4 linked regions of the Drosophila melanogaster genome follow. The gene in region 2 interacts genetically with the main gene of each other region. Each region holds a gene or a part of one and is shown on either strand. Other genes may lie near its edges.

The links.
Region 1: of RhoGEF2 (region 2) and mwh, changing one suppresses a phenotype caused by changing the other (phenotypic suppression), as found in Drosophila melanogaster (one study listed by BioGRID).
Region 3: of RhoGEF2 (region 2) and LIMK1, changing one suppresses a phenotype caused by changing the other (phenotypic suppression), as found in Drosophila melanogaster (2 studies listed by BioGRID).
Region 4: of RhoGEF2 (region 2) and flw, changing one suppresses a phenotype caused by changing the other (phenotypic suppression), as found in Drosophila melanogaster (2 studies listed by BioGRID).

What each region holds. Positions count from the first base shown.
Region 1 is NT_037436.4:1,197,217-1,205,112, reverse strand, and holds the start of mwh (multiple wing hairs), read right to left. Parts: upstream 4,328-7,896; 5' UTR 3,798-4,327; intron 3,243-3,797; exon of another isoform or gene 3,200-3,242; coding exon of another isoform or gene 2,316-3,199; intron 2,232-2,315; coding exon of another isoform or gene 2,147-2,231; exon of another isoform or gene 2,077-2,146; intron 1,798-2,076; exon of another isoform or gene 1,711-1,797; coding exon of another isoform or gene 827-1,710; intron 559-826; coding exon of another isoform or gene 474-558; exon of another isoform or gene 318-473; intron 1-317. Other genes in the region: CG9119 (uncharacterized protein), read left to right, coding at 474-558, 827-1,710; meep, read left to right, coding at 2,147-2,231, 2,316-3,199; Aplip1 (APPL-interacting protein 1), read right to left, coding at 6,486-6,558, 6,627-6,814, 6,883-7,604, 7,800-7,896.
Region 2 is NT_033778.4:17,023,746-17,031,516, reverse strand, and holds the start of RhoGEF2 (Rho guanine nucleotide exchange factor 2), read right to left. Parts: upstream 4,328-7,771; 5' UTR 4,178-4,327; intron 2,845-4,177; 5' UTR 2,522-2,844; coding exon 2,496-2,521; intron 393-2,495; coding exon 1-392. Other genes in the region: Dark (Death-associated APAF1-related killer), read right to left, coding at 5,089-5,772, 5,837-5,983, 6,039-6,158, 6,226-7,771.
Region 3 is NC_004354.4:12,588,243-12,595,692, forward strand, and holds the start of LIMK1 (LIM domain kinase 1), read right to left. Parts: upstream 3,952-7,450; 5' UTR 3,689-3,951; intron 2,243-3,688; 5' UTR 2,207-2,242; coding exon 1,599-2,206; intron 1,442-1,598; exon of another isoform or gene 1,341-1,441; coding exon of another isoform or gene 1,282-1,340; intron 1,107-1,281; exon of another isoform or gene 1,080-1,106; coding exon 1,014-1,079; intron 926-1,013; coding exon 1-925. Other genes in the region: CG1824 (uncharacterized protein), read right to left, coding at 4,458-4,706, 4,765-5,370, 5,634-6,650, 6,726-7,089, 7,255-7,304. UniProt on the Drosophila melanogaster protein: Protein kinase which regulates actin filament dynamics. Phosphorylates and inactivates the actin binding/depolymerizing factor tsr/cofilin, thereby stabilizing the actin cytoskeleton.
Region 4 is NC_004354.4:10,382,423-10,390,330, reverse strand, and holds the start of flw (flapwing), read right to left. Parts: upstream 4,372-7,908; 5' UTR 3,820-4,371; coding exon 3,768-3,819; intron 1,889-3,767; coding exon 1,496-1,888; intron 1-1,495. Other genes in the region: Psf3 (partner of Sld five 3), read left to right, coding at 5,278-5,380, 5,449-5,843, 5,905-6,045; CG17841 (uncharacterized protein), read right to left, coding at 7,645-7,749, 7,821-7,908. UniProt on the Drosophila melanogaster protein: Required for cell adhesion in non-muscle tissues and in maintenance of muscle attachment. Vital for larval development.

The sequences.
Region 1 (7,896 bases), on a different chromosome or scaffold from region 2:
TTTTGTGGCATTCATGGAAAAGTGTGTGCCTCACATTGACATAGGTCGTTAAACGGAGGTGCTACTGTAACGAAATAGCCGCACCGTAAATACGCCTTCCTGACATGCGCATTAAGCGTGAGAGCTGATGGATCGCTCCACCTCCCCGCAGGAACCTTAAGAACTCGATCTCGACTCTAATTAAACTAAATACGGCACAAGAGTTTATCTTATCGGCGGATGCACCCTGTGCCGACCGGCCGTACCAGCAATGTTAACTATAGGGCAAACCGGGAGCCGAGCACTCAACTTTAAAAAACGAGACCCCATCTGGTTTCAGCAGACAGTCGTGTTTGCAACGATCTAGCGAGCGGTAGGTAGCCTCAGCGCGACTAGAATACTTGGTGGGCTAGAGAAAGGAATCCAAACCTGAATCGGAACGAGGCCAGAATCGCAATAAGGAGCAAAGTAACTAGGACACATCTCCAACCAAAATGAGCCAGAACCAACTGAGTACGGAGCAACTGCTCTTCGAGGAGAAGCCGCTGTACGTGCCCCCATTGTCAGAGTTGCAGAACGGTGAGTCGAGTTGGATTTCCCAGCGATCCCGCAGATAACAATACGTGCCATGTGCAAATGACCTTCAGCAGAACGGTGCCGAACTTTCCACAGCCGGTTTTCGGTGGGTTCTACGTTCTGTGTTTTTTGTTTGCTGTTTTCATTGAGCAAATCTCAAACAGAAACAGAAACATATGATTGGCGGTGGAGCTTTTGCTCAGCTTTTGCCATATCTCGTCTAGATGGAGGTCGAGATAAAGCTCTAATGGTTACCCTACCTCTCTCACAGTTATACAGGGTGCCCTGGCGGCCAACTTCGCCAATGTGAATGTCAGTGTGGGCCCTTGTCCGGATCTGAAGGCCAAGCAGTTCGGCCTGGTGGAGAGTGGACTGGGCGGCAAGCCCACGCTGCTGGAGGCGGGAGGCCCACCCTTTCTGCTGCCCCTCGTGCAGCGAGATAAGCTGTACAACATCGCCGAGATCACGCGAAAGATCCAGGGCCCCGGCACGGTGTTCGCCGTGGGCGCCGGAGCGGGACCTTGGCCCATCCGGGGATCCAACTGCGAGGGCATCTTCAACTTGTCCGTGAACGAGAAGGATGAGCTCACGAACGGCAGCTACACGGCCACTGTGAGGGGAGAGCAGGAGGAGTGCGTCCTGGAGAAGATACCCCACACAGAGCCCAGGTGCGCCCTGCTTCTCAACCTCTTCCTCAGCCAGGGCAAGCCTGGTCAGGTGTTGAAAATCACCGCCAAGCAGCGCACTGGCGAACAGAACTTCATCGAGTGCATCCGCAAGGGCCTGGAGAACCACTACGGGGACAAGGTGGTGGGTCTGGGTGGCATTTTTCTGATCAAGAAGGGCGCTGCCCACCAGCACGTGATGCGGGACTTCAGCAAGACGCCCATCAACAGCGACGAGGAGGTGAACGAGTGGCTCAAGTTCTACGAGATGCCCGCCCAGCTGAACGCCGTGGGCACGCTGGTGACCAAGGAGCACGACCTGGACCTTCGCCTGCAGCACTTCCACTCCTTCTCCTTCAGCAACTGGGGCGGTCACTACCATTACGACACCACGCCGGATATCGTTGAGTACGAGGCCTACCTGAACGTAGCCGAACGGGTGGTGCGGGTGGATAAGCCCGTGGCCACTCACAAAGTGGGACGCGACTAGATCTTATCTGCCGTATCTAGTTGTAGCCGACTTTTCCATTGCCCCAACCCCCAATAAATAATAGTAAATAAACAAAACATAAGCTCGAAAACAGAAACAGTCTTTTTATCTGCTCAAATCCCTGTCAGGCTTAACAAATACTAAAATAGCTTATCAGCTAGCTGGCCAACCAAATTTACAAAATCTAAAATTACTTCTCTAGGTTAGTACTTTGTTATTTTGAAAACAGGTCATTATAAATAGTATATTTAATAGAAACTCAAACCAGAAAACCACATACTTTTATAAATTGGAAGCCCTGTATCAGTAGAACATTATCATGACAGGCGTTCGAATGACAGACATTTTTACCAAACGATGGTGCTTCGGTCAGTCGCTAGTTTACCTCCAGCAAGGAAAGGCCCTGAACCCGTACCGAAATATTTGCAGAGATACCATGAACGGGAGTCACCTTCAAACGGAGCAGTTGCTCTTTGAGGAGAGGCCACTCCATGTGCCGCCCCTCTCGGAACTGAAAAGAGGTGAGCACTCCCGCGTGGAATAGCTGATAAAAATAGTTCTCATCTAGCGGATACGTCAAATAAAGCTTTCCACCTGCTCTCCAGTCATACAGGGTGCTCTGGATGAGAACTTTCGGACCGTAGATGTCAGTGTGGAAGCTTGCCCGGATTTAAGGGACTCCCAGTTTGGCCTTGTGGAGCGTGGACTGGGCGGAAAGGCCACTCTCCTAGAAGCAGGAGGGCCACCCTATTTGCGGCCCTTGGTGCAGCGAGATAAGCTCTACAATCTGAAGGAGATCACTCGGCGGACCCAAGGAGCAGGAAAGATCTTTGCAGTTGGACCGGGAGCAGGTCCGTGGCCCATTCGTCACTCCAATTGCGAGGGGATCTTTAATTTCTCGCTAAACGAAGAGGATGAACTCACTCAAGGAAGCTACACGGCCACTGTGAGGGGAGCGAATGAGGATTGTGTTCTCGAAAGGATTCCCGAAACCGAATCTCGTGCTGCTCTGATCCTGAACCTCTTCCTCAGCGAGGGAAAACCAGGTCAAGTGCTCCGAATTTCCGCAAAACAGCGCACTGGAGGGGAAAACTTTGTAGAATGCATTCGCAAGGGTCTGGAACGGCACTACGGAGACCAGGTGGTGGGCTTGGGAGGAATGTTCGTGGTCAGGAGGGGATGTGTCCACCAGCACGTAATGCGAGATTTTAGCAAGACGCCCATCCACACACAGGAACAGATCCAAAACTGGTTGAAGTTCTACGAAATGCCCGCCCAGCTAAACGCAGTGGGCACCTTGGTGACCAAGGACATGGGACTGGACCTCCGCCTGCAGCACTTCCACTCGTTTTCCTTTGCAAACTGGGGAGGCCACTATCACTACGACACCACGCCGGACATTGTGGAGTACGAGGCCTATCTGAACGTGGCCGAAAGAGTGATCCGTGTGGACAGACCCGTGGCGACCGATCAGTTGGGCAGAGATTGATCTTCATCTGCTCATTTGTTCCTGCCAAAAATAAACGTCTTCGAGAAAATGGTTTCGGTTTCTGTCTGGTTTTCTCAGATTACCAAAGTGTGGCTCATGGCTCGTTGGAGCCGCATCATTTGTGGAACAGGCCCTCGAGGGCATGGGGTTTATGTAATTGCCAAAAATTAGAGCCACCGAGCCGCTTTCTTCGAGATGCAAATCGATGGCTAAATGATCTGTATAGCCAGCTGGCCGGATAGCACCTGCGATGGGAGGCTGGGATGGGTGTTCTGGAGCTTCATGCTTGGCCTAATGAGAGCTGCGATACGGACGTCTAGCTAAGCAGGCCGTAAATAATGCCCCAAACATGCAGCAATCTGTGTTTTTCTTTTTGCACCGCTGGTCATTAATTATTTAATAACTTTGATCCATGCAGAGCACACAGCGAATGCATTGGTGAATTCAGCCAGTAAAACGATCCTATGGATTTCCCCAACTGGCCGGGCGGGAGTGCTGAACCAAAACAACCCGTTTGTTGTGACAGTTACAAATCGTAGTGAAGGCATGATAGATGGACGCACAGAACTTGGACAGACAGACAGACTGACTGACTTACCCACTCACGCCGGGTGACTCTCCCTCAAAATCCTATTGTTCGTTCTTCCGCGGCTCTGCTTAACGGGTCTCCAATATTTGCATTTATTTATTCACTATTCCAGATTCTTATAACCTTTTTATGAAAGTAGCAACACTTTTGGCCGCGACGAGCACACAAACAAACACCGAACTTCCATCGATTCGATTTGATCCAATTTAATCTACCAAACAGCGCGGTGAAATGCAAATGCGATTTCTTCGTCCCACGAAAAAGAAAATCTCTTTTTGTTATTGTTACCGTTGTGGTTGTGGCATTGGTTGTTGTTGTAACCGTTTTTGTGGCTCAGGCATACTCGGTTTATTCATATTTTAAACACACCATTAGCACTTTTTATTAGCTGCCTCGGTTTGATTTACTCCACTCTACCGATCTTCACTTCGCCAGCTCGTCGACTTTAGCTTCGCGTTTGGCTTTTGGCTATAGTTTCGGTTTTGGCCTGGCTTTAACTGTGCTCTAAGCCGCGTCTGCTTGGCTGAAACGCGAGTTGCAGACTGAATGAAGTCCGCGATCAGATGGCTCGACTGCCGCTGCTGGTCGGAGTGGCTTTCCACATGGAGCTGCTGCTCTTCAGGCGCGTAGATAGCGAACTTGTTTGGGGGATTTCCACGAGCTTCGGTTCTATCCATTCATGCACTTCGAGAATCGGTAGCCCTTGGATAAGATGTCACTATCCGAGAGCTTCGGCTTCAGAAGCTATCTATGCAATGAAGTTCTGTCAGTTTGCACAAGGTAAATTAATAAAGGGAGTGTCCTAATTAAATAAGTATTAAAAAAAATATATATATGAATAATAGCATGCGTATTCGATAGATAGTAGGAACATAGCATAGTACTTTTATAATTTACGATATAGAGAATTTAAAAATGTACTAGAATAATCAGAAGCTCAATTTTTTTTATTACTGACTGATTTAGAGACTGCTAAAACGCATCGGCAATCCCCTCTAGATATCGAATCGGTTTGACAAGTCCATTGCCGCCACTGGCAGCTCAGGAAAATCAGGTTGGCTTTTCGGCTGGTCTGTTTTACAAGCGTTTTTAAATTGAAATTGTCGTTTAATCTCTAATTGGCCACATTTGCGATAGAGTTAAGAGGCCGGGCACGTCGACAAGTGCATCAAGCGAGTGCCGCGCGATTTTCCCAACCCCGAAACCAGTTCCCACACCGAAACCCAGCCAAAGTCGCTGCCAAGGCTACTTCGGGTATCCATTTCCATTAAAAGCGACACGAACTAGTTAGTCTTAGTCGCTGCTCCTGTTAGAGCACTTTGCCCAAAGGCAGATCCGACCAGGCCCACCGCCACAACCCGTTCACTGAACCACCTCCGAAGAAAGTGGCCCAAAGCTGCTGGCCGGCTTCGCGAAAATTGCATAATGATTGATGCCCCCAGGCTAACTGATGTATCGCCATTTTAATGGCTCGGCCATTTATTCTCCACTCCCTGGGCGTTTTCATTAATGTGCGATTGTTTCTTTTTCCGGCGTAGATCCGCATTGGTAAATGTGCGGTGAAATAAAACTAATGTGGAATCCGAATGGGAACTTCTGGGCCATCATTCCATTCCATGGCCCGCTCAAAACAAGTCATCACAAGTTAATCTTAAAACTAAACTGCAATTGGCCATTGCCTTCATATAGCCGATTAGTATTATCTTGTCTTGTCGTGTAATTTTATGCAAATCACCAATTCATTTCCCGCGAGAGATAAACTCACATGTTTTATGTGTAAAATAATTTACTTTACAAATTATAAGTTATCTTTTAGGCTGCTAAATATTATCTACCATCATTTCGGGATTCTATCAACTTGCTATAAATTGAGCTTAAGTGCATACTTTTGGGTAAGTTCTACAATATAAGATGAAAGGGCTTACATTCTCTTACTAATAAAACTCACCTTTCTTCCTTGAGCACCCAATAATCCAATATAGTTTGATTTATAGGTTCTTTATATATTTCTTTTGTATACATATACAGTATATATTCGCCTGCGTGTACACAACTTTAAAGGTTTACACATCTTATACTGGGCTTTAATTGAGAATACTTCAAAACGTAGCAGCTGGTGTTCGATATTGTTGAGTCTCTGGTAACTGAAAGATTGGCATAACTAAACTAAGGTTACACGAAGATCGCTAAATTACTTTGGCCTCACTCTATTTTGTGCATTGCCAGGTTAAGGATGTGGTTACAGGAGGGTCTGGATATCTATAACCAATCCAAATTGCTTATCTCCGATTTACAATAGACCCAACTGACCCAACTGACTCCCGATACAAAATTCAAGGTGTTCAAGGTGTTCTTTTGCTTCTGTCCATATATCCAGTGAACTCGAGTTTAAAGGCGGTTCCTATAGAGGGGGCAACTATTGCTGATTGCTTGAAGCTCAGTGTGAGTGTGAGTGTGAAGTGGGGATTTTGAACGAAAGTTAACTAACTATTTACATGTCTAAGATCTTGCACATTTGTTCAAAACGGATAAATGATAATAATCTATAGCTAGGGTTTCTATTGCGAGCTTATTGATTTTGCTTTGAGATTCTCTTTGAAGAAGAGCAAATATTCTTGAGACTTATCTTTGCTTTTATTCGTAATAACCGCACAAAAAATATATCGTATTGATTAATGCACAAACCGCCTTGCAAGCCTACTCAATGTAGATGTCCTCGATGGGATAAGCGGTTTCAATGAATTTCTGATAGAATCGCTGGAAAGCACGGCTGAAAGAAGGAGTGTTAACATGTTATTCGAGCGTTTGTTTTGGGGGGATGACTGCTTGAGGACTCACCCCACTGCCTCGGCCACCGGTCTGGTCGACTCCGAGCCCTTGAAGACGTGGCAGGCGAACCGCTGAACCGTGGGATGTTTGGTGATGAAGCCAATGAAGCGGTGATCGCGAGGGTGAAATGCGCAGAAGGAGACGTTCTTCAGGGAGTAGAAGTAGTCGATGCAAGGTTTCTTGTCCTTTTTGTTTTGCTGTTTCACGAAATCGGTTTTTATATCGGTTATTAATGAAGATGTATATATGTATGTATCCTACTCACATTCGGGCCCGATCGATCCACCATGCGAAGTCCCTGGTCGGAAACCTCCAGGATGCACGTCTGTCCGGTCGGTGAGTTGCCGTACTCCCCGACAATCTTGCGCACCGCCTGGCAAACGACTCCGGTGCCCTTGTGCGCCAGCGTCTCCACGGATCCGAGGTAGCCCAGCAGATAGCGCTCCTTCTTCACCAGCTGCACTGTGGGATCGAACTCGTTGTAGTCCAGGTCCACGGCGTAGGCCGAGGGGAAGATGCCCTGCCTTCCGGTGCGGAGATTCACACCCTCGCACCACAGGTCCTCGGCCTCCTTTTGCACGTAGATGGCGTCGCCGATCTCCAGCTCGATCTCGTCGTGGTGCCGCGGCACAAACTTGTGCAGACCACGGTGAGTGGCCTCCAGCATCTCCAGCTGGCCAAAGGGCACGCCCCCAAAGGGAGGCGGAAAGGGGGACTGCGAAACGGGAGACGTGATCTGCGGCGACATGCTCTTAAAGTCGTTGGGCGAATGCGCCGTGCTGTGACCACTGTCCACGTCGCCCAGACTCTGCATCCTTTCCGAATCCGGACTGGAGTCCTCGTCCATCAAGTAGCCGCATTTGAGGGACAGAAATGAGCGCTGTTGTCCACTGCGAACTGCTGGAGGGATTCCTCCACCACCACCGTTGCGGAACTCATCCGCCAGGGAGCCAAAGTTGGAGCCACCTAGAAGATGCAGAATGGAAGCTGCAACGAGGCCATGAGTGGGTTAGCCCGAAACTACGAAGGGATGTTAAGAAGGACTATCCGGCTCCCAAAATAGGATATGACGAATAGATGTGTTGTGGAAAACCAAATACTAGTTTTGAAAACCGGCATAGCCCCTGAAACTACTTGCATGCAGGATACTCTAGCCAGGAACTAAGTTTTCAATAAACTTACATTTCTTGTTTTTCGGTATTTCCGGCAACTTGCGACGACGTCGCGTGGCAGCTGTATTGGGTGCCAGCAGATCTGTGCTGGCTCCAATGGTCACAGG
Region 2 (7,771 bases):
GATCCTTGTCCCGATCTTTGTCCCGATCCCTATGACCACTAAGGCTGCTGGCCAGACTACTCAGGCTGCTCGCCAACGAAGGAGATCGTGGAATCTTCGATTTGTTCGCCAACTGCTTTTGCTTCTGTTTGCTCTTCGAGTTCTTAACAGATTTCTGCTTGGGCGCTGGCAGCTCGGGAACCGAGTCCACAACAATTACTGGTGACTGTGGCGCACCCGCTGACGGGCCTGCAGATGTCGCTCCTGGTCCAGTTGCAGTTCCAGGGCCTGAGTGGCTGGATCCGTTTGTGCTGGTATGGCTCGTTGATGTCTCCGGGGGCTGAATGCTTGACTCTTCTGGTATCTCTTGAACCTCATCGTATTCATGTTCGTCAGTATATAAATCTAGTAACCTGACGGAACAAAATATACATTTAGTTTATTCAAAACTCTTATTTATTCATTATTATAATAATAATTATTATTAATTCAGTAAGCTCAAGTGTAATTAAAACCCTGCCCGCATAATATGAACTCCATCTTGATATCTGGCAGCAGAAAAGCAACAATTTTTTCAATATGAAATAGCGCTGTGGATATTTCATTGTTTTAAAGTCTTCGCTTTGAGTGACTAATTTTCTATCCGTCGTTATCTATCAAATCTTTATCTTCATTTACTCAGATTAGTTGTCACCAATACCATTTTACTAATCTTGTAAAACCTTTTATCGCCTTTTTATACACACTGATTTGGTGACTACCGTCTCTGTGGTTACAATTAATTCATTTTTATTGTTCCTTTACTAAACCATGATGGTTGATTAGCTAGTTAGTTTGTATACCCTTTAAAATACTAGACTTCAGGCATTGAATAGAACCAGCGGATTGCCAGCTCAATCATCTATGAGAGGTAATCAATGCTGAATAATTTCATGGCGGAACTGCTTCTGCTCTTCGCCAACGATTCCCATGTGGTATGCTGGGTTTTAAAGAGCAGATAGCTAGATTAGTGGCTAATCAAGACCTCGCTGTGAATGCGACAAACATGTAACGAAAGTCACGGCCAAAGCCAAAGCCAAGCGATTTGTCGTCGCTGGTGGGTCTCTTTTAATTGAGCTAAAATTAAATCAGCCAGAAGAATAGATACACTTTAATTGCCGTTTATTTGATCATTTTGCATGTGAATGGAATGGATAAACATACATATGTACATATGTATGTCCCAGTATACAGTGTGTACCACCTTCGGACCCGTTCATATACCGGAATATAATAAAAGCTCATTTCCCGCCTGGTGAATTCATCATTATGATGAGTTATTTCCATAACAGCCGGGCGGGCAGGCAAGACCTCCAAAAATCAAATGTTTACATTAACTTTTTTGACTGATTGGCCCATGTCAATAGCATGTCTCTCCGTTTGATCCAAGTGAATTCTCTTTCTGTCTAAATTTAGCTGCCTAATTTTGAGGAAATCTTGCTGCAGCCCGTTGACGGGCTGGCATAAAACCTGTTAAGGCCCACAAATCAGACGACAACACCAGTGGTGGTGAGCTGTTAATAGATTTAAATCATTTTGCATAGGTATATTATACAATTCGTGGTTAAGACACCACCACCAAATGCACACACAAGCATGCTTAGAAAGTCACTGGTTTCGCCAATCTATTTGGGCTAAAACTTCCCTAGGTGGCAATAAAAGAAATAAATGGTAAAATGTGAAAACTGGCCGCTCCCTAAGTTGGTGAGCGTATATATGTATTAAGTCATCCGTTTGGCAGTCGAAACCGCACAAAAACAACCCCAAGCTTGGGGGAACTATTGGTATAAACAATCAGCAAACACAGTGCGTTTCAGAACTGTGAGACGGCGCAAAGTTTCACCTCGTCAATTGGCTATTTTCAAACAACGTTTGCTGACTAATCACGGGTCAAATGAATTAGTAATTGCTTACAAAAGTTGATCGGTGATCTAATGCACAGTTAAATCATCTGTAACTGGCTTAAGAACTATTTAAAATGTAGTAAAATACCTATTATTTTAATATAATTTCGAGGATTCTTAAAGGCTGCTACACTATTTAGGCAACGATCTTACATAAGTTGCTAGTTCTTAAGGGTAGCCCTAATATGTTAATATAAGCACTTAGGTCAAGAATGTGTGAAAGCTTCTTTTATGAGTAAAAATTCTTCCGATTTGATATAATAAGAGCTTTAACTTTTTGTGTGACTAATATCTTCTTCTTCTTCGAGATTTCATTAAAATTATTCAATTCCCACAACCAGTTGACACTGCCTTTGAAATTTGCATTAAACCTGCCTCTATGATGTATATTTGGTATATTTATTAGTATGTGTATAATCGACTGTTGCTTGCGAATAAGAACGAAAATAACAATTATTAAGTCTGTCGAGGACAAAAGATAAATTCTTATCGCAATGCGAGCAATTTAACCAGTGGGAAAGTGGAAAGTGGGGAAATTGTAGCGCATGGAGACAGTGGAGCAGTTGAACTCACCGTTTTTTGATTGATGGGTCATCCATAGGGTTTCCTGCGATGGCTTTTGCTGGCTGCTGTGCGGGTGCGAAGATGCAAATTCAAAGGCATGCGTAAGCCACTCGAAGTCGGAGGATCCCGTGGAGTATTGTTCGCATTGGTGTGGGGCCAGTCACCAGAAGTGGTTGCGGAATGCTTTCGGCAGCTATTTTTAAATTAGCTAGTAAAAACGGGCCGAAATGAATCCAGAAGTGATTTAATTGCCTCGATTTTCGTTGCTTTAGTTCTGTTTTATGATTTTTTGGTTGCACTATTCCAATGGGTTTTGATATGTGTATATATATTTTGCACTGCTACTTTTCACTTAAACCTGTGGGCACACAAAATTCGTTTGAAGACATTTCGGGCATTAATGCATGTACATTAAAATATTTGTTTGCATTTTTTTTTTTTTTTTTTGAGTGGGTGGTGAAGGGTTATGGGGGATGGGGCGGATCGGAGAGGGTTCAAATGCAGGCAGCAATCTCCTTGCAATTTCATTGTTTTTATTCCAACACAGATAACTGAACAGCACACCCACACACTCACGCGCAAGCCATACATATTCCAATGCCTATGGCTCTCTCGCCGCGCTCGTTCTCTCTCACTCTCTCTCGTAATCTCTTGCTTTCTCTGTCACTCGCAGGCAGCAGTTGTTGCTGGTTTTATTGTTGTGCTTTTTGCTGACTAGTTTTCACGAAACATTTAATGGATGACGACTTGGGGTTGGGGGAAAACAAGTTTTTGGCCGAAAAATTGAAATACTAATGCTATACTAATGGGTCAGAGCGGACACACAAGCAGGAAAATTCCAGCGATCCTTTCCAGATTTGCGTATTTTCCATTAGAACAGCTGATTGTTCAATTAATCGCTTGTGTTCAATTAGCGTGACGAAAACCCAAAAAGAAAAACAAAGACTCCCTCTCTTTCTTTGAATTTGCACTGATCTCACTGTTTGTTTACCTAAATAAATCAATTCTTGCAGTTTCACTCCTTTTTAATTAAACGCAAATATTTAATTGAATAAATATGTATACACACAAACTGGACTGACTGACTGACTGAGTGTGTGTGGGGGTGCGAGTGCGATCATCGCCGCAAACGCAAAGGCAAAACAATATGGCTGCCGCAAGCCACTTGTTAGAGAAAAACAAGGGATTCGAAGCCTCGGAAAGCGTCCAGTTGTTTATCATTTACTCATTAATTCGATCGCTTCCCGCTCCGTCAAGCCGCACATCCCTAAAATCGAATTAAAGCCATGTACTGCAGTTCAAGAGTTCAGCACTCGACGCACTCACACACGCGCGTCGCTCACTAACACTCACTGCCACCGATGGGCGAGTGTGGAAAATAAATACACATATGCCGTCATACATTCGATGCCCCTATAAGCGCGCTGCGTCTGTCTGCGTGCGATGGGTTAGAGATCATTTTTAGACAAATTTGCGTACAATATTTCCTGGCAGTTGCAAGCTCGCGATTTTGCCATTGACGAGCGTGCACAAATGCACTTAAATATGTATGAATTTTACGCCAGTGTGTGGGTGCGCGGAATGCATGTAGTCACTTTTTTTATTTATTGCTTTTGTTGCTGCAGTGAGCTCACGCGTAGCGAGTTGCGCATCATTCTTTCTCTGCTTCGCCACTTTCGCCACGCACTTACTTAAAACGCACTCGTATTGTATTCCATAAAGACACGAAAAATGTTTTTATTTTTTTCACTTATCGCGCCATCAACACGCACACGACGTTCTTTTCTTTTCAGCTTGAAAATTGGAATGAAATGACGAGAAAGAGCGCATATCTGCCAGTGTTGAAAAGGGCTTTAGTTCGGTACGGAATTCAGTACCTAAAACTGGTACAAACAAGGTACCTTGCCGATGATACAAGTTAGCTATTGGTTTTTATTCATTGTTTTAAATGCTTCTTAATATATTTCGTACGTGTGTTCATTAAGGCAATGTGTGTAAATCTTAGCTTATAAAAATTATAGCCCAAACTTGACTTGAACTTTTTAATAAAACCAAAATGCAAACATTGAGGCCAAAGCCTTTTTATTAATTTAAGTCAGCTTAGAAGTAGACGAGCCACAATCCAGATACGTACCTATTTATTGGACCGCAACACTGATATCCATACACGAACTTAGCAGCACTGTCCCGGGACCAATGCTTTTGCAACACTTGATCTGGCGTGCCTGGCAGAAATCAAAACAAACGCACAGCACAACCACCCACACAGACATGCATGCATACATACATACGGACAGCACAAAGAGCAGACAACAAAACCGCGTTCTGTGTTTTTCGTGAAATGTCGTTTATTTGGTGGCGGTTACTCGCGTTGACAAACAAAGGCAGGGCAACGCACCCACCGCCCTCTGAGATATCATACTTGGTTAGCTGCATACATTCGCAAATGTAAGCGCCAACAACTAATGTTTGCCTAGGACAAATCCGGACCCAGGAGGTAGAAGAGCAAAACCATCAGGTAGTAGAGCAGTAATCCTATAAATGCCATGTTGTAGTTTGGACTTTCCTGTTTCGTGCGCCGCCTAGGGACGCACTTCTGGCGTCATGAACTGGCCTCCTCCAGAATTGGTGTCGCCCTCGCCACTCCGCCGTTCTTCTCCAGAACCAGGTTGCCAACTACATCAGCACCCTCGCTATCCGAATCCTGCATAAGTGGGCTGTCGAGAATTCGAAGATTTTTTAAGTCTTCATACTGATTGGCAATATCCAACGTAACTGGGTCAGGTGGAGGTTGAAGTCTGCTTAACTCCAGCAACTGCAGATGGTAGTAGACACCCTCGTCATCTATGGCATAAAAGTGGGAGAAGTGGGCGTCTGTGAAGAACTGACGAGCTTCATTTCCCACAAATTTAACGCAGGCCAGGAGTTCCGGACGGATGGCATTGCCGCGCTTATTCCGCCACAGTTCCGCAGTCCCTCGGTTCACCGGATGAAACTCGTCGGCAACGAATGTCACATCTACATCGATGTCCGCTGCAATGGGCGCCGCATCCACAGCATCCTCTTGTGTAACACTGTGCTGCTTATGGCGTCGACTGCGCCGCCGTTTTTGCTCGCGCTCCAATTGATTGTTGCGCATGTGCGTCACATTCCAGAAGCACAGCTGCTCCGCGCAGCTGATCAGGAGCAACTTACATGGCGAGAATAGCAATTGCCGGATGCAGTGCTCGTGGACCTCTTCAATGCTGTAGATCAGTTGAACTTTTCTGTTTTCAACGGCAAAGAGCTGTTGGGAAATGTATAATTAGCAGGAAATAATTATGAAACGAATTTGTAAGACGTATGTATACCTCTAAAGTGCCATTTTCGAAACCCATAGCCAACATGGTACCATCATCCGTGGCTACCAAATAGCTGATCTTGGCCTTCTGGGCGATCTCTTCTTCGCAAATCTGTTCGTACCTTAGTTGGTTACAGCTGAATATTAAACGGAATACCTGTCGTTGGAAATAATTGATAATTGTTTAATGATATTATGTTTAGCAAACCCACATCGATGATGTTGTTTTCGTAGGCCAGAAAGAGAAGACTGTTCTTTAGATCAAAGCCGACAATGTATTCCTCCGAATCCTTTGGTTTCACGAATGCAGATGGGTTAGCTATATCCAGATGCTGTTGGTAAATATTGAAATCAAATACTGCACTTTTACTCGCATAAACTTCAATTAAGAACACTCACACAGACTCCGTGGTCGGAAAACAAAATGATATACTGTCCTTCCTGCAAGGACGCGTACTTGGTACTAACATCCATCATCAATGGCCACTGGTCATTGGGTTGCAGCGGATCTATCTTTTCCAGCTGGAATATCACAGTCTTCTGGGCACTGTGTGCCGACGCCACCAGAATGTTGGGACTGACCTGTTTGAGGTAATCAATGGGCTCCTCTATAAACTGCTGAGGTAGCGCTGTATCATGAATAACATCTATTATCACTCCGTCCACATAGCCAACGAAAATCTGTTCGTCGTTAAAGGCGGATATGGCATTTATCTTACAGTTACTGGCAGCATGAGTGGGTGTGATTGTGGACCATTCGGAAATTCTAGAAATGGCCGGTTTAATTAGGTGAATGCGCTCCTTGGAGTCCACAGCCAGAAGTTGCGTCCGCTCTCTGGTCATGTCCATCAGAGAACGCAGATAGACATTAGGCTCCAAGCAAGCCTTTGTCATCACGCTTATCTCATCTGCACTGTGAACCCAGGCGATTTCCCTGTTTTGATGTGAATTCGAGCCGCTTACAGAGCGCAATGTGTGCACATGGACCACCTGTTTTCCCTTAGCGCCGCACAAAACAATGTACTTATAGACAGGATCAAACAGCTCGTATATATCCACACACTCTATATGTTCGCTGACATTGCTGCGTAGCACGGGATCAGAGATTTTCAGATCATACACAATAAGTCCCTCGGACGTGCCCAGCAGTAGGTAACGTCCGTCAGTCGAACGCTTTCCGCAGGTGATGAAACTTCCTTCTGGCAGTTGCACTGCCTCCGATTGCAAACTAACCGAAAGACCTGGCAAAAAATTGAGCCGCCATACGCTGTACTTAAAAATCAGCAACACGGTGGCGGTCTTACTCCTTTCGTCAAATACATCTAAGGCCAACGGCGTGTCGTTTTCGACATTAAAAACATGTAGTTCCAGCGTATTGCTGGAACCGTTGGTCAAATCCCATACAGTAAGTGTGCAATTTGAGGTGCAGACCACGTAATATCGCTTTAAAACCTGAACGAAACACCGTATTCCCGACTGCATCGTTTTCAAAACAGGCACGTGCGACAGTTTGAACTCCTGATCTTGTTCGTCCCAATTCAAAATACTCACATCACCATTGATGAATGCCACATGCAGTTGGATGTTGGCCTCTGGCAATCCGGCGTCTTCATTTAAATAGAAAGCAACAATTTTCAGATTTGCATAGCTCCCTATAAAGCGTTTAACCACGCTATTGACTAGCTGCTGCTTGCTACCACCACTGTGGCGCCTTCCTGGACAATCGGGCCACAGGGACCAAAGTTTTACGCTGCCGTTGCAGTGCAAGGTGATCAAGTGCTTCTGTTGGTTAAATACCGCCATACGCAGAATGTCACTGCTGTCGCTCTCGTCCCTTAGCAAATAGGTGTCCTCTCCCTCCAGCGAAACATCGGTTAGCAGGATCTGCCCGCTGGCCAGCGCTATCAAGCAAAAGTCGTTGTGAAGGTAGACAGCATGGCGCCCC
Region 3 (7,450 bases), on a different chromosome or scaffold from region 2:
ATCTTCACGGACCAGGCAATTCATTGAGTTCAAATCGCGATGGATGATGTTCATCGAGTGCAGATAGCTCATGCCGCACGCAATATCCCTGGCCAAGCGGACGCGCTGGGGCCAAGGGAGTACTTGGGCTGGATCGTGGATCAGCTCCTTGAGACAACCACCGGCCACGTACTCCGTGACCATGTGCAGTTTCTTATCCTTGTACAGAACACCAATGAATTTGAGCACATGCCGATGGTCCAGCAAACGGAGAACGGCCACTTCCTTGATGAAATTCCTTTGCGCTTCCTCATCCGCACGATGCAGTTCTTTGAGGACCATCACCTCGCCGCTCTGACGGTGGGTCACCTTGAAAACCTTGCCAAAGAAGCCCTCGCCTAGCTTCTCTCCTATAACCAGATCAGTTGCACGAAAGATTCGTTGTGGCTTTTGGACGACACGGCAGGATTGCGTCCTGGACAGATCATAGAGCTGAGGATGCGCCGAATGCTGTTGTGCCTGATGCTGTTCATCCAGCAACTTGGACAGACTGGAACAACGCTCCTTCTCCTTTAGTTGCGTCATTGCGGTGGCTCCAGCTGCCGGTGGTATTGTCGTAGAGGCATTGGTGGCTTGTCGCAGTTTCCTGGCCTTCGTGCCCTGTTCGCCGGGTGTCTTGTACAGACGCTCCCTGCCCACCTCGACACTGGAGGCCGATGTGCTGAGCGGCAGGATTAACGTGGACGCTGACATGGCCCGCTGGATGTCCGCTTGGCTGCAGGAGCGGCACACTTGCACCGGATCATGCTCCACGGTCAGCTGAAGCATCTTCTCATTACTCCGTATCAATTTGTCGATCTGTTCCACGGACGAATCACTAACTGGTGTGCCGTTCACCTCCAATATCCTATCTCCAATATGCAGATTTGTAAGATTCACATCAATTCTGGATAATAGGAAATAAATCAATAATTAGCAAAGTGTTACTACTAGCTTAGTTGTTGCTTTTAATTCAACTCAGGCACATTTGTTACCTATAAGGCGCCCCACAGCACTGTTCCGCCATCGAGGTTAGCCACAAGAAGAAGTTACAGAACAAGCTATTTTTTTTTTTTGGGCAAGCATGTATTAGGGAAATGCAGAAAGAGTCGAAGGACGAACGCCCAGCGAAATTAGTTGGCAATTAGGACTAGACCTAGTTAGCTAATGTGCAAACTTTAACAAATGGCAACCAAAAGTGAGTCAGATTGAAGCAATAAATTATATACAATCAAATAATAGTTATCATTTCACAATACGTACTTCGTAGATTTGAGCCATGGTAAAATTTTTTTCAGTACAAAATGTAACCAAAAAGACATTCTTCTTTAAATTCATATAAAAAAAATGTTGTGACTTGTGTGTAAAAAGTGAGAAGACGGCTTGGTTTGTATAACATATGTACATTAAACGCAAAGGCAACTTAGAAGTTCAAAAAAGAGTACAATCTGATCTTTGAAAAAGATCTTAAAAAAAACAACAAGAAACAAATGTAACAATAAAGTTAATAAATAATGCAAATGCATGCATCTCAATGAGTTCATTGATGTAAATTATAGTAATTTCAGTTAATTTCTTACTCTGTAATGCGGACCGTGGGACAACCATCGTCGAGGGCCACTCCGTCGACCCTCAGGCCGGGCGTGGCGTCCTTGGGTATCTCGACCAGACGGATGGAGTGCATCGGCTTGCCGGCCGTTGTGATCCGCGCCTTCGCATCCGCCGGCTGGCAGGAACGTTTGCCATAGCACTGGCCACAATAGAGCTTCGAACGCTCGACAAGGGCGTACGATTCGCCCTCGCCGATGAAGGAGCCGCATGCCGTGCAGCAGAAGCACTCCGGATGGAATTTGTGCTCGCCGGCGACCATTACGGGTCCGGTGATAACGGCCATACACTGCTGACAGGCATCGCCGAATCGGCCGTAGTAATCCTCACGACAGTACAGTAAGCCCTCCCGTTCGAAGTACCAGTTATGCAGATGGCCCTCGCAAACGGAGCAGCGAAAGCAATCGCAGTGCCATTGCTGGCCGAGAGCCATCACGATTGGCTCCTCTGGATGTGGCAGTAGTTGACCCCGACAATGGGCGCACAATGGTGAGTGTCCTCCGGACACAGGTCCTGATCCTGCGCCCAATCCAGTGCCTCCTCGTCCGCCATTTGCCCGCAGGCGCTGCTGATGATGCATGGAATGTTTTTGTGCCTTGGCCCGATCACGTTAGCACTGTGGGTAAAGAGCAGGGGGGCGGGAGGTTAAAAAAAAGGTATTAGTCGATGACGGAATAGGTATTAAATATAGTAAATATAGACCAGCAGTCACGGAACTTGGCCAATTATCGTCAACAGGTCGATATGAACCAGTGGAAACTAAGCAAATATCATATAGGCAATGTAGGTCTATAAATAAGCTATCTTTACCCATTATCATTAACGTTGAGAAAAAAGATATCTACAATGATATCATACATGAAATGCATTTATTATCAACTAATATAGTATTATATTAGTTTTTCTAACTGATTTAAGTGTTAATGATAGGAAGGTTTGGCATTTTTCAAAACCAATTGCATTCAAAACTCTCCGTGATTTTTTATGATATACTGGGACAGCAATTCGAACTTTATTGCTAAAGCGATAGCCATGTAAATATTTTTGCGTACTAAACAAAATGACCGAACAAAACAAAATAATTGAGTCCGGTAGTCATTAGTTTAGGGTTCAGTGATAAAGACTTCGATCCTGAGTCAGCTGCCCCCCATCGGAATTCGCTATACCGCCTGATTTCCATCATCGATTTGCATGCATAATCCATGGATATATGCATATGGACATACATATGTATATGCAAATACACATGAATGTTTGTGTATTTATGGATATAGCTCAACATTGACCGTGAAAACTCCGGTTGATGCAACAACAAACGCGACTCTTTGGATCAACTGCAATCGCAATTGCACTTCAGCTGAGCTAACTGTAGTTGTTGTGCACGTCCCTCTTCCGACCGCATAAACATGACCAATGAATGACGAATGCACACGCACACACTTGCACGCGCGCACAGTGGTCACATGTGAGCCGTGCGTTAAGTGCAGTCCAAGCTCCATTAGGGGTTAATGTGCCTTTAATCACCTGCTTAACCCATTGAACTTTTACTTTAACCAACCATATCACAGTGCTGTGATTTTGCTTTGAAGAGATTGGAAATGAGTGGGTGTGCCACCCTGACTGAAGTCTATAAAATAGCCAAGACAAGCTAGGTTTACGAATGGAACGAATGGTAAAAAATCAAGTAAGTTTGAGTATTTGTCGCACTAGTCCCGCTAGAAACTAATTCCGTTTAATCAACTATGGTTATCATAACTTGCGGTCCAATTTTTGTTAATTAAGTCAATTAATTCACTCAGGCAATTTGCATATTTTTGGACTCCAAAATTCAGGAATGTGTCCACTGTGCGGAGGCAGAAGCACACACACACACGCGTACAGGTGCTGCACACACACACACACACACACACATGCACGCGCTGTTAGAAAATGTGTGTGGGGGAACGGGAACAACACGACATTAGCAAAGCCAATAGCAACAACAACTGGTTTTTTACTTAGATTTTATTGTTTTTTGCTGGACTTGTACACTAAACTAAACCAAACACACACACACACTTACATAATTGTTCGTTTGTATTGCTATTGACTTGACGCACATTGCACATTTGTTGGTTTTTCCTCGCCAATTTCTTATTCGACTGTAATTCCCGCCAAGCAATTATTAATCGCAACTACCGAAATGCCGCGGATTTTGTTTAAATGCCGACGCGACGCACAGCTCGCTAACTCAAACAATAAAAAAGAAATGCATAATAAACAAAACAACAACAAAACTACACAAAATAAAATACAATTCAGCCAGTGTGACCGTAGGACTGTCATTAAAGAATCTCAAAACTATCGTCTAGCTGCCAATCAACTTAAAAAATATATAAACTCTTTAATGAACAAATTTTTTATTATAAACACGCTGCTTGTCACTAACAAGAAATATTGAACAGAATTGAATATTGAAATAGTTTTTCTTTAATCTTCGAGTGACCGTATATGAGTATGGTTGTAGAAATAATGCGGTCCCATTGAATATATTATTTAACGGAAATTGGGATTTCAAGTGTTTTATATTCAGTTTTTCAAACTTTAATTTAAGTTCACGCATCCCATCTATTTTTAATGAACCCGGTGAATTTAGCGATAATGACAATGAAATACTTTCTGTTTATAACAAAAACAATACTGTCTTCAGCGTTTATTTTATTGTATACTTATTGTTAGCGTCTCTCACCATTTTTGTTTTTGGTCAGTTGAAAACAAAAAAAAAAGTGAAAACATTATAAGAATATTAAATTAAGTGTATAGGGAATCATTCAATTTGCCTAACATCGTCACTATCCTTGCGCTGCGTTTGCCCTGCCACCGAAGCTGCTGCTCCCCACTGTCACTGTTGCTGCGGAAGTTTCTGCGGCAGTTGCAATTGTTGCGGCTGTTGAAGTTTCTGTTGCAGTTGCCTGCTGCTCCTTGACGGCCACAACGTCCTCCACCGCCTGGACTTGCTCCTGGATGTCCCGTCGTTCCTGCTGACGCACCAGCTCAAAGTACAGGCCCCGCTTGCCCATCAGTTCGTCATGTTTGCCGGTCTAAAACAAGGGAAAATATAAATATTTCTGAAGATACCAATGGTCTAGGACAACTCACCTCCACGACGCGTCCCTGATCAAGGACGACAATGAGGTCAGCGTTTCGTATCGTGGACAAGCGATGGGCAATCACCAGAGTGGTGCGATTCTGGACCACTGTATCGAGTGCCTTCTGCACTTCCGCCTCGCTGGTGGCGTCCAAGGCACTCGTCGCCTCGTCGAGGATGAGGATGCGCGGATTCTTGAGCAGCGCCCGTGCAATGGCGATGCGTTGCCGCTGACCGCCGCTCAACTGGGTGCCCCGTTCGCCCACATGCGTCGCATATCCATCGGGCAGGGCGGTCACAAAGTCGTGCGATTGTGATAGACGCGCTGCCGCATACACATCCTCCTCGCCCGCATCTGGTTTACCATATCGGATGTTCTCCAATATCGATGTGCCAAACAGCACCGGCTGCTGTTCGATGAAACCGAGGACATTGGACCGCAGCCAATAGGGCGATATGTCCGACAGCTTGTAGCCGTCCAGTTTGATATTGCCCGCCGATGGTTCGTAGAAGCGTTCCACCAGCGACGCTATCGTCGACTTGCCCGATCCACTGGCTCCCACCAGGGCCACCGTCTGGCCCGGGCGGAGCGTCAGGCTAAAGTCCTTGAGCACCAGCTGTGAATGAAGCAAAAATTGACATAGGAAGTTCATTACTGTTTGCATTGCCTAGACTCTAATCTTTTTATCACTTAGCCGTAAATATTGGCCATAAATGTTTGTGGGTATTATAAAATGGTTATCTACTTGCGGAAGCGATAAGAAGTTATTCAATATTATATAAAAAAGTGGCGAGTTTACAAATTACAGAGCATCGATTAATGTAAATATGCCATCATTGTCTCGAGAATGAAATGAAGATATACTTTAATACAACTCACATGATCGGGTTGCATGGGATATGCGAATGAGACGTTCTCGAATCGAATCTCGCCGTGCAGCCGCTCCTGCGGGATGATGTAGCCGCGCAGCAATTCCACCTGTGGCTGCAGCGATAGGAACTCGAAGACTCGACTGCCGGCCGACATGCCTCTGATCATGGTGCCCAGCAGGATGGATCCCTGGGCAAGGGATCGCTGCACACCCTGCGAAGCGACCAGGAAGGCCATCAGAGCACCCGGCGACAGACTCTCCGTAGACATGAGGTGGCCGCCCATAAAGAGCGTAGATAGGACTAGTGTATTGAGGAAGAAGTTGGTCAGGCCCTGGAAGATTGCGATGCCGTAGCCGAGTTTCTGCGCCAGGCGAGCCGCCTCATTGGTCTCCGCCTCGAACAGCTGCATCTCGCGGTATTCACAGGCACTGGATCTAACCGTTCGGATGTTGGACAGCGCCTCCTCGCAGACACCCGTCGCTCGTTCCGCCTGCGCCTGTGAGCTTTTGCTTAGAGAGCGCAGTTTCTTGCCCAAATACGTCATGAACATAACCACGCACGGAACGCTGGCCAGCGCAATGGCGGCCATGTGCGGTGAAATCATGAAGAGCGATATACTGCCGCCAATCAGCTGGGCAGCACTTCGCAGTCCCTGGGAGACGAACTGCTTGAACGAGGTCTTGAAGTCCTGTACATCGGCGGTTAGTCGATTGACCAGCTCGCCCGTTCGATTCTCATCGAAGAATGCGATGTCCTGGACGACAATCTGCGTGAACAGATCCTGCCGCATCTTGGCTGCCATCTGCTCACCGACGCGGCTCAACAGGTAGATGTACATAAAGGTGAAACCAGATTGCAGCATGTATAGGCTCAGCAGATTGCTGGCCGGTTTGCTCACGTCCTTTACGAACGAGTTGTTAATCGGATCCATCACGTACGTGTTGGCATATCTGGCCAGTGTGTTTACCAGGTCACCGAGAAGATTTGGGATGCGTATGTTGATATAAGCCACTATCAGGGCGGCCTGCAAATGAAATTAGCTAAATATTTTGACAAATGCTACACCTGTTCGTGGGCTTTTTGTGATCCAAGAACTCACGCATACGGCCCCGATCAGCTCCCAGAGATGTGGCTCCAAGTAGGTCCACAAACGCTTCCAGTCGAAGTGCTGCTCCGACGCAGTGTCCTCCTCCTCCTCCTCCTTTCGAATGGCCAGCCGGCTGCCTTCGCAATGAACGATCGCTCCGCGATGCCCCGCCCACCAGGAACGGGCGCCCAGACCGATAGCTAAACTACCACCGCCCCACACAAGCAGGCGTGTCGTCTGCAGCAGGCGGCTGGCATTTGTGGGCGGTATCGCGGGCGGTTGGGGAGCGTTCGTTCCACGCAAATGTTGGCGCATCAGGCGGGCGGCATTCTGGAGGCGTGGCAGTGGCTGCTGCGTGGGCTGCAGCAGGTGGCGACTAAACAAAGCGAAATAGGCGGTTAATAATAGGTTGGCTGATTGATGACATAACCGGAGTGAGGGCGAGGGGGAGTCGTTGTTTCCCCAATTCACTGCTGGCCGTAGCAGATCCTCGTGCGTCGGCGGCCCAGAACCTCGCCCGCGATGGTGACCCCTACTCTACCTAAATATGTCGCTGCTCCTGCCGCAATTGGACACGAGTAGGCGCAGCATCTCTTCTCGCGTGGCTTGCAAATATCAACAAAATACGCAAGCGTTAACGCATCACCTGGCGATAGACGCACAGGCATGGCTAGCGATGGGCAACTGTAAGCTATCGATTGTTCGGCGAGTCGTTAAAGGGGCATTGCTGATATTTT
Region 4 (7,908 bases), on a different chromosome or scaffold from region 2:
CAAGTTTATAATACATTATTTTCTAATCTTATAGATACATATGTGTTTCGTGTGATTTTCGACTATCTAAATGCGACGATTTGTGGCGGTTACTATAGGTTGTGATAGTTTAGATAACCCGAGAACTCACAAGAATTTGTTGACAATCGAAACCAGAAATACTTATATAAACCCCCTACATATAACGAAATCCCCGATTTGTTATATAGAGTAACTATCTGCACACTCAACGCCAATCAATTTTGATATAGTTTATGATTATTGTTTAACACCCAGAAGTGCTGCAGTTGTTTGCCATGTCGCATGTCACATTCAACGAGATTCTTTTTTGGACAACAATTGCCATTGCCCACCCTTTCCGACGTCATCATCGTCCCCCCATCCGAATCCCAATCCCAATCCCAGTGCATAGAAATGGCAACCCCTTGCTGCCGCATTCTTCTCGGATTTTTATACATTTAATTTGTTTCGCATTACATTTGACGATAGTGGATTTTGCGCTGTGTGAAAACAATTAGATGAAGGCGATGCGATGCGGGTTGTGGCTTTTACGGGGTGGGGGGGATTGGCCGGAGTGATTGCATAACACACGGACACATACATAGATATAGAGATACACATCTGTAAAGTACCATATATTTATATGTACCTAATCGGGGCAGGCGTTGGTCAAGCGTTGGCACTGACATCGCGATTGCAGTTCCGGAAAAGTAAACGGTAGCCCCACACCAAATCATAAATATTATGAAACTCTTCTGTCCCAAAACAGATGTAATTGTTTCTACTTATAGCTATTCTAGTGAAGTGCAGATGGGATTCCAGTTAATATTGTTTGAGCTATCGATTGCAAACCCCAATCAAACATATTGCAATTACATTGGCAAATAAACAAAATTAGTTGGGTAAGTTATACCGCCACATAAAAACCGGATTACTTGATTAAAAATAGTTTAAACTTTCGCAGAATGAGTTAAAGATTCATTCGAACTGTCTGAGAATGAGCTTATCAATGTCTTATCAATAGCGTTCATACATTCGTGAATGCCTAGTTATGGAGGCAGTGGCAGTGGCAGTTTATATTGTTTTGCTGAGTGTACCCAGGGATATACATAGTGCTGATTGAGTGGAGATATGTATTAGTTCGGTATTGCAATCCCTTTGTGCTTCCCAAGCTTTTAGCCGTGTGACAAGCGAGTGAGCTGGCCCTAAAGTGATAAGTGTGGGTTGCATTTGATTGGAACAGAGCTGAATGGGATTGGATTGCTTTCGGATTGGATTGGCTTGGCTGTACGGAGGAGAACAAGCGCCAGGGGTCTGGTGACGTGGGTGGGTGGGGGGTTATAGAGGACAGCACGCTACTTAGAGTATGAAGTCTCATGGTCATGGTGACCACTGCAGTATGGCTTTTACTTTTGCACTGGACTTATGGATGATCATCAAACATCGACAAAGTGATCAATAGGGGAGGTTGTTCTTAGATTGAAAGTGGTAATACCAAACTCGGCGACGAAAAAATCGCGCAGTTTCAATCTGGATTTCTTGGGCTCCTCGCGCGGATGATGGACGGTGATCTGGTCGCCATCGGCCGATATCATCGTCTCGCTGGGCGGCGATATCGAGTATTGCTGGAGCAGACGGCGCTGCTGTTCGGTGAGATCGTCGAGCGGATCATGGCTGGATCCTGGGCCAGCGCCGGCACCAGGAGCACCAGCACCAGATCCCGATCCGTATCCGGATCCAAAGGAGGCCACCGCCGCCATCGACGAGTAATTGCTGCTGGATGTGGGCGATGTGGCAGATGCGCCGGATGCTCCGCCGGCGGCGGCCAATTGTTGAGCGATTAGCAGCTTCTGGGCGTGCTCTTCGGCCTCTTTTTGTTTTTTAAAGTCTTTCGAATGGATGCACATATACATATATATTCATATATACGTACACATATATATATATATATAGAGAGAGAGATCTATTAAAACTAAGGGGTGTGGGATAGGTGGAGTGGGCTTGCGGGAAAAAAGCATAAAAGAACACAAAAGGAGGGCGAAATTTCCATATTTCTCGGAAAAGCGAGAGCCAGAAAACACGACAGCCCGGCTAAGTGCCCTAAAAATTCAATTTCAATTTGCAATTTGACAAATGAAATTTATCTGCCGCCGCCGCTGCTTTTGCCATTTTATTTTCTTTTTTTTTTTTTGCTGCCGGTGACAGAGGCTGACGACGCTTCATAGATCAAAATTAATGGCATTTTTCGGGGGATGGGGTGGTGGGCGTAGTGCCATGACCTAGCCCACTCGATGACCTTGACAAATGGTTGTGGCCTACCTCGACCATCTCGCTCAATCTGCCCCTTTTGCCCATCGCCCATCTGCTTTGGCAGCTGAGAGTGGTTTACAGTGATCACTCGGTAGCTAACACGGTAAGTAAGGAAATATACTTTCTATGATATATTTACATACTTCATAACGTAGAAACATAACCGATATCTGAAAAGATTCTTCTCCGTTTTCCTTTTCCGCTGTGTTCTTCCGTCGAATGACCACTGTAGTTGGGTCGTGTCATATCAGCGCAAGAAATAAGTGAAACCGAAAGACAGAATCGGAGGAAGAAAAGCGAAACTCATTGCGGAAATGGACAAAAACCGAAAATCGCAATGTTCAAATGCAATTTCCCCGTGGCGTCGGTCAGAGCTAAAGCCAAATGGTGGCGGCGGCCCGCCCCCCGGAAAAGCGGAAAAGCCCATCCCGTCCCATGCCGTATCTTCGACATTGGCTGACACTTGCAAAACGAGACAAGCACTAAGCGGCTTAAGCAACCCTCGCAGATGTTGGGTTTTCACCAGGGCAAAGGCATATCGCATTCGAAACCTAGAAGAGGTTGCAAAAATGTAAACTATTTAGCGCTTTTACGCTTTGCAGGAAGGTTGCATGATGACGACGATGACACAGCCCCCACCACCCATTCTAAGCCACATACAGTGGATATCGGCTATAGCGGTCGATACCCAGTAAAAATTATATTGATATTGATCGCTGGATAAAAATATCTTCTTGGGGGCTAGGAAATATAGGATATATCGGTCGTAGATTTCTCAACCGTCTTTAGCGATAGTTGCGTGACACGAACAGCGATCCCACTCCAACGGGCAGTGGGGTTACTTGCGACAAAGCTCCTTATCGAGTAACTCATGTGATTCCGTTCCATTCCTTCGTCGGCGATTTCATAGCTACACATTCTGTTTGAATCACGCCCGTGTTTATCAGCTCGATGACGTCATTGCCAATATAGGCGAAACAAGAAAAAACACAGCTAATAAACCAAAAATCATTTGGGAGACATTAGCGCAGGACAGAGATGGCGTGCTTAACAGCGCGATCACTGTTAGTATTATGTAAACGCTAATGAGCGTAGCGTAGATGCTGTCGCTGTTGTTGTTGTTGTTTTTATGGTTTTTGCTGTTTTTCAAGAGGAGCAATGAAAATCAATTAAAACTAATTGATTCAAGAGTCAAATTCAAACGGTTGCAGCGGCAGCAGCGGTGGCGGCGGCGGCGGTAGAGAGAGGGGCTGTCGCAACAACAAAAAGAAAACCTACTACCATTTAAGCGAACAATGTGCAATAATTAGAAAATGCAATCGCACACACACACACACGCAGATAAACTGTGTAATAAATTAAAATGGGGACAGTGGCGTGGGAGGGGCGTAGAGGGTTTGGGGGGGAGGTTTTGGGAAAGTAGGATTGAAAGAGGGGGAAATTTCGCATCTACTTACTCTCCAGCAGCCGCTGTATCAAGCTGTCCACATTCAGATCGAAGTCGCCCATTTTTCAGCAGCTAAATTGTTCTTCTATTGGCCGCGTTTTGTTGTTGTGGCCAGCTGTTCCAGAATTCCGATTGGAATTTTTGGCGCAACAACTACACGCACGCACACACAAGCACACACACACGCACAGCGACGCCCGTTAGCTTATAAACTTGTATTGTATGCTATTGTAAACAATAAACTTTGTTTAATTCAAATAGTCGTTATATTCTTTTCTCTTTTTTGGTCGTTTTCTTACTTGCCGCAAAAGGCAATTTCACTTTATGCTCTCTTTTTTTCTTATTGAGATTTTGTACGGTGGGCCGCTGATGTTCACTGATGTTGCACGAGGGGCAAGAACAGAAAAAAAAATATATAGACGCACGGCTGATCGACTTTCGGGATCGCAAATCGATCAAGGAATATATAAAATATATATATCTATATAGATGTGTTAGATCTCTGCAGGGGGAGAGGAGCTGAGAAATCGGCTTAACTGAGAATTTATAAACCAGCGTAATCTTTTCTCCGCCAATAACAAAACTCGTCGGACAGCTAGCTGAGTATGACCGTTTGCCGGAAGGCTGAAAAAGTTTTTGGTGGCGGCGGCTTTACAGTTCGACTTTATCGATAGTCCGATGGGCAACGAAGCCAGCCAGTGCTCAGCAACGCGGGAGTTAACTGTCAAAGTCCTTTTTCGCACTTCAACGCTCGTGCCTTCAAACTTCTTACTGTGAACTCAAATCTCGACCGAACAAGTTGTGTGCTCCCTATGATTTCGTTATTAACTGATATTAACTACACACACATTTCTCTAATCCTTGCACACACATAGCTAAATCGAAATGGCTCTTTCGACCATCTGTCCGTTCCTCGTCGCCAACAAGAAAAACTCGAAGCACGCGGCTTTGCTATTTTTGATCTCAAGTGGATTGATGATTTTTAATATGGGCGACTTTATCGACGACTTGATGATCATACGGCTAGATTAAGATCAATTGTTCGAAATTGAAGTCAAAATAGTCATTGCCGGGAACGAAACCTTTATTTTTATTTGTTTTTGAAAGATGCAGATAAGCCTAAGAACTTGCGGAAGAAGTAACCATCTAATTGCAATCGTATCGAATTACTATTACTAAGCTGAGTTCACATGTTCCACATCATTTACAACTTTGAGTAATTATACCCTGACTAGTAATTTTATGTATAAAAAAATGTCAAGTGCAGGCTGCAATTTAAAATTCGCGCTGAAATAAGAGTAATTTTCCGGAAAAACTATTTACATATAATACATATAAATGCTTCGATATATATAGTACATAAAACCTATCGAGTGCCTCGGCATCCAGGCAAACAGCTGTTTCTGCCTCGATAGACCCCGGCAAAATGCATCTAATATCGATAGGCGATAGGTCGCGCACTTAAGAAATTGAATTTACCTAAAGTAAACACCAAACGAATCATAAAGCTGGGCCGCGCAATGAACGGAATGAACTATTTTCCGAACTATTACTCCATCGAGGACATATTCGTGACCCAGGAGAAGGTGGAATGTCGGGTGAACACCAAGCTGCAGCGGATGGGTAAGTGATTGGCTTGGACGGACACGCACATTCTGGCCAGTAATCCGACAATATTGAGTTGCTTGCAGGATTCCTGGACTCCGGCGCGGAATCGGATGACCTGGAGCCCGGCAGGACGGTCAATCTGCCGTTGTGGTACATCAAGGAGCTGAAGGTAAACAATGCCTACTTCACCGTCGCCGTGCCAGATATCTATCGCAATGTGCATAAGGCCGTCTGCGAGGCGGAGACCACGCACATCGAGCTGGGACGCCTGCACCCGTACTTCTACGAGTTCGGTCGCTATCTGACGCCCTACGATCGCAACCATGTCATCGGCCGCATCATCTTCGAAACGCTGCGCCAGAGGGTACGTCATCTCCTGGACATCTCGAAGAGCGACGGACAGGCAGCCAAGGCGGAGCATCGACTGGATAACATCGAGGCCAAGCTGCACGAGGCTGGAGTGCGCACCAACAGTCAGGTGGGTGGCTGTACTACCAGTCAAGTGGGCACGGAGTGTTATATTAATCACATAATTTCAGTACATCGAATGGCTGCAGATGACGGGCAACAAGATTCGCACCTCGGAGCTGGTCGAGGAGCACCAAAAGAAGCGGCGACGTGCGGATCGCAGCGATGACGAGGGCGATGCTCTGCCCAACAGCAAGCGGGCCACCTTGTAACAAGCAGAGTAAAACAACAAAAACAGACCACTGATGTACTGTGGAACTGTAGCAACTTTATTTCGTCCATTCGTTCGGTGGCCATAGGGCAGCCTGACCTCTCAAAAATACACTTTTCATCTACTCTATGCACACGGCTAAATCCATTTGTACAGTTCAAAATACATGGGTTTCGCATACATCTACGCATAACTAAGCATCCAATCCGGGACCGGTCTTAAACAAAACACATAGGAGCTGCCGTTCTGCGTTTTTCATTGACTTGGCAATAAGCCAAAGCGATGTTGCGCCACATTGTTACATATAAATAGTTAACTACATATATAATTATATTCTTGTAAGCTCAATTAAAATTTGATTTTGTGCTAGTTTCACATACAGTTCACAAATAAACATATACACCAATGTCCAGCGTACATAGGTAGTTCGTTTAAAAGCAACCAATATAGGACTTCTATTTCAGGGACCGTAATGCTTATAAGTCTGGATTGTGCTATTTGTTTATTTTGGAAGAGTTTTCAATGGTATAATGTAATGAACTAAGCAAGTTAGGCTAAAGCGCACAAAGTAGGCCAATATACATATATATTATACTCGTAGGTGGAAAATGTAACAAATGTGTTTTTTTTTTCATTTCTTTGATAACCTAATAAAGATAATCTAGTAAAACAAATCAATATCAAATTGTCTGAACATCAGAAGCTTCGCAAAATGAGCATATCGAAATATATCAAACAAGTTTACAGCATTTGAATTTAAACGATAAGATAAAGAAGATACTAATGTAGCACAATTAAAATTCTGATTACTAATATTCTTGTGTCTTGTAAAATATCGTGATATGCAATTCAGAAAATATATATACATCGTTTTCCACTTGACCATATTCTCTACATAGATGGCCGAAAAATGATCTACGGTCCCCGGTTATCTGGTATCTATATATATATCCTTGGTGACTTTCACAATATTAATATATATATATATATGTATATGTATATTAATATATGCACATCGAACATTCCTAGCTGTGCATCTGGCCAATTTCTTTTGGCTTTCATATGCTATGCTCAGTTATCCTTCTTCCGCATTTGCATTTGCAATATATATATTACTAACAGGTTATGGTATTAACACAAGCATTCATTCCCCTCGACAATTTTTCGGGGCGGTTAACAACATCGATTTCGTGGATATAGCGGAAATTGAATGCAACATTAATTCGTTAATGGTTAGGGGCTTGCTTCAAAAAATAAGCAACATAGTTTATTCGCTTTATCTGCATTTGGTTTTAGTTTTGTTCTTGTTCTTAGTTCTTCACTTTCATCTTTATCGTTCTTTTTTTTGTTTTTTTTTTAGTAAATAATGTCTTTATTTAACACTAAGGGTCTGTCCATGGTCTTCGGTTCATTTGTAGGTCGCCATCGTTTCCGCTGCCTTTTTCATCCTCCGTCCGTCATGGTTTTCTGTTTCCGGTTTTCAGTTTTCCGGTTAGTAGTGGGTCGTTCTTGTTGTATAATTAAAAATGTATAAACAATAGCAAGATCTCCGCAAAACGGATGCGGCTGGAACTCTGCCTCAAAATAAATACAATTTGCACTAATTTTTGCCATTTATAAGGGCGGTGGGGGTTGGTGTGGGCACGGCCGCCGACTTTGCCGATAGAACTGCGTTGGGCGGCCGTCTCTTTTGCGGTAGAAAGACCTGAAAATGAAAGAGACACATGCATGTGAGCAAGACACAATACAATGTATACGATCTCAGCTGGCACACACCTTGAGAGCACCCAAAACCATCAGATAGAACCAGTAGAGCTGTGGCAAGAACAGTATAGCGATGCTGATGAGGCATCCTCGCGGCAGG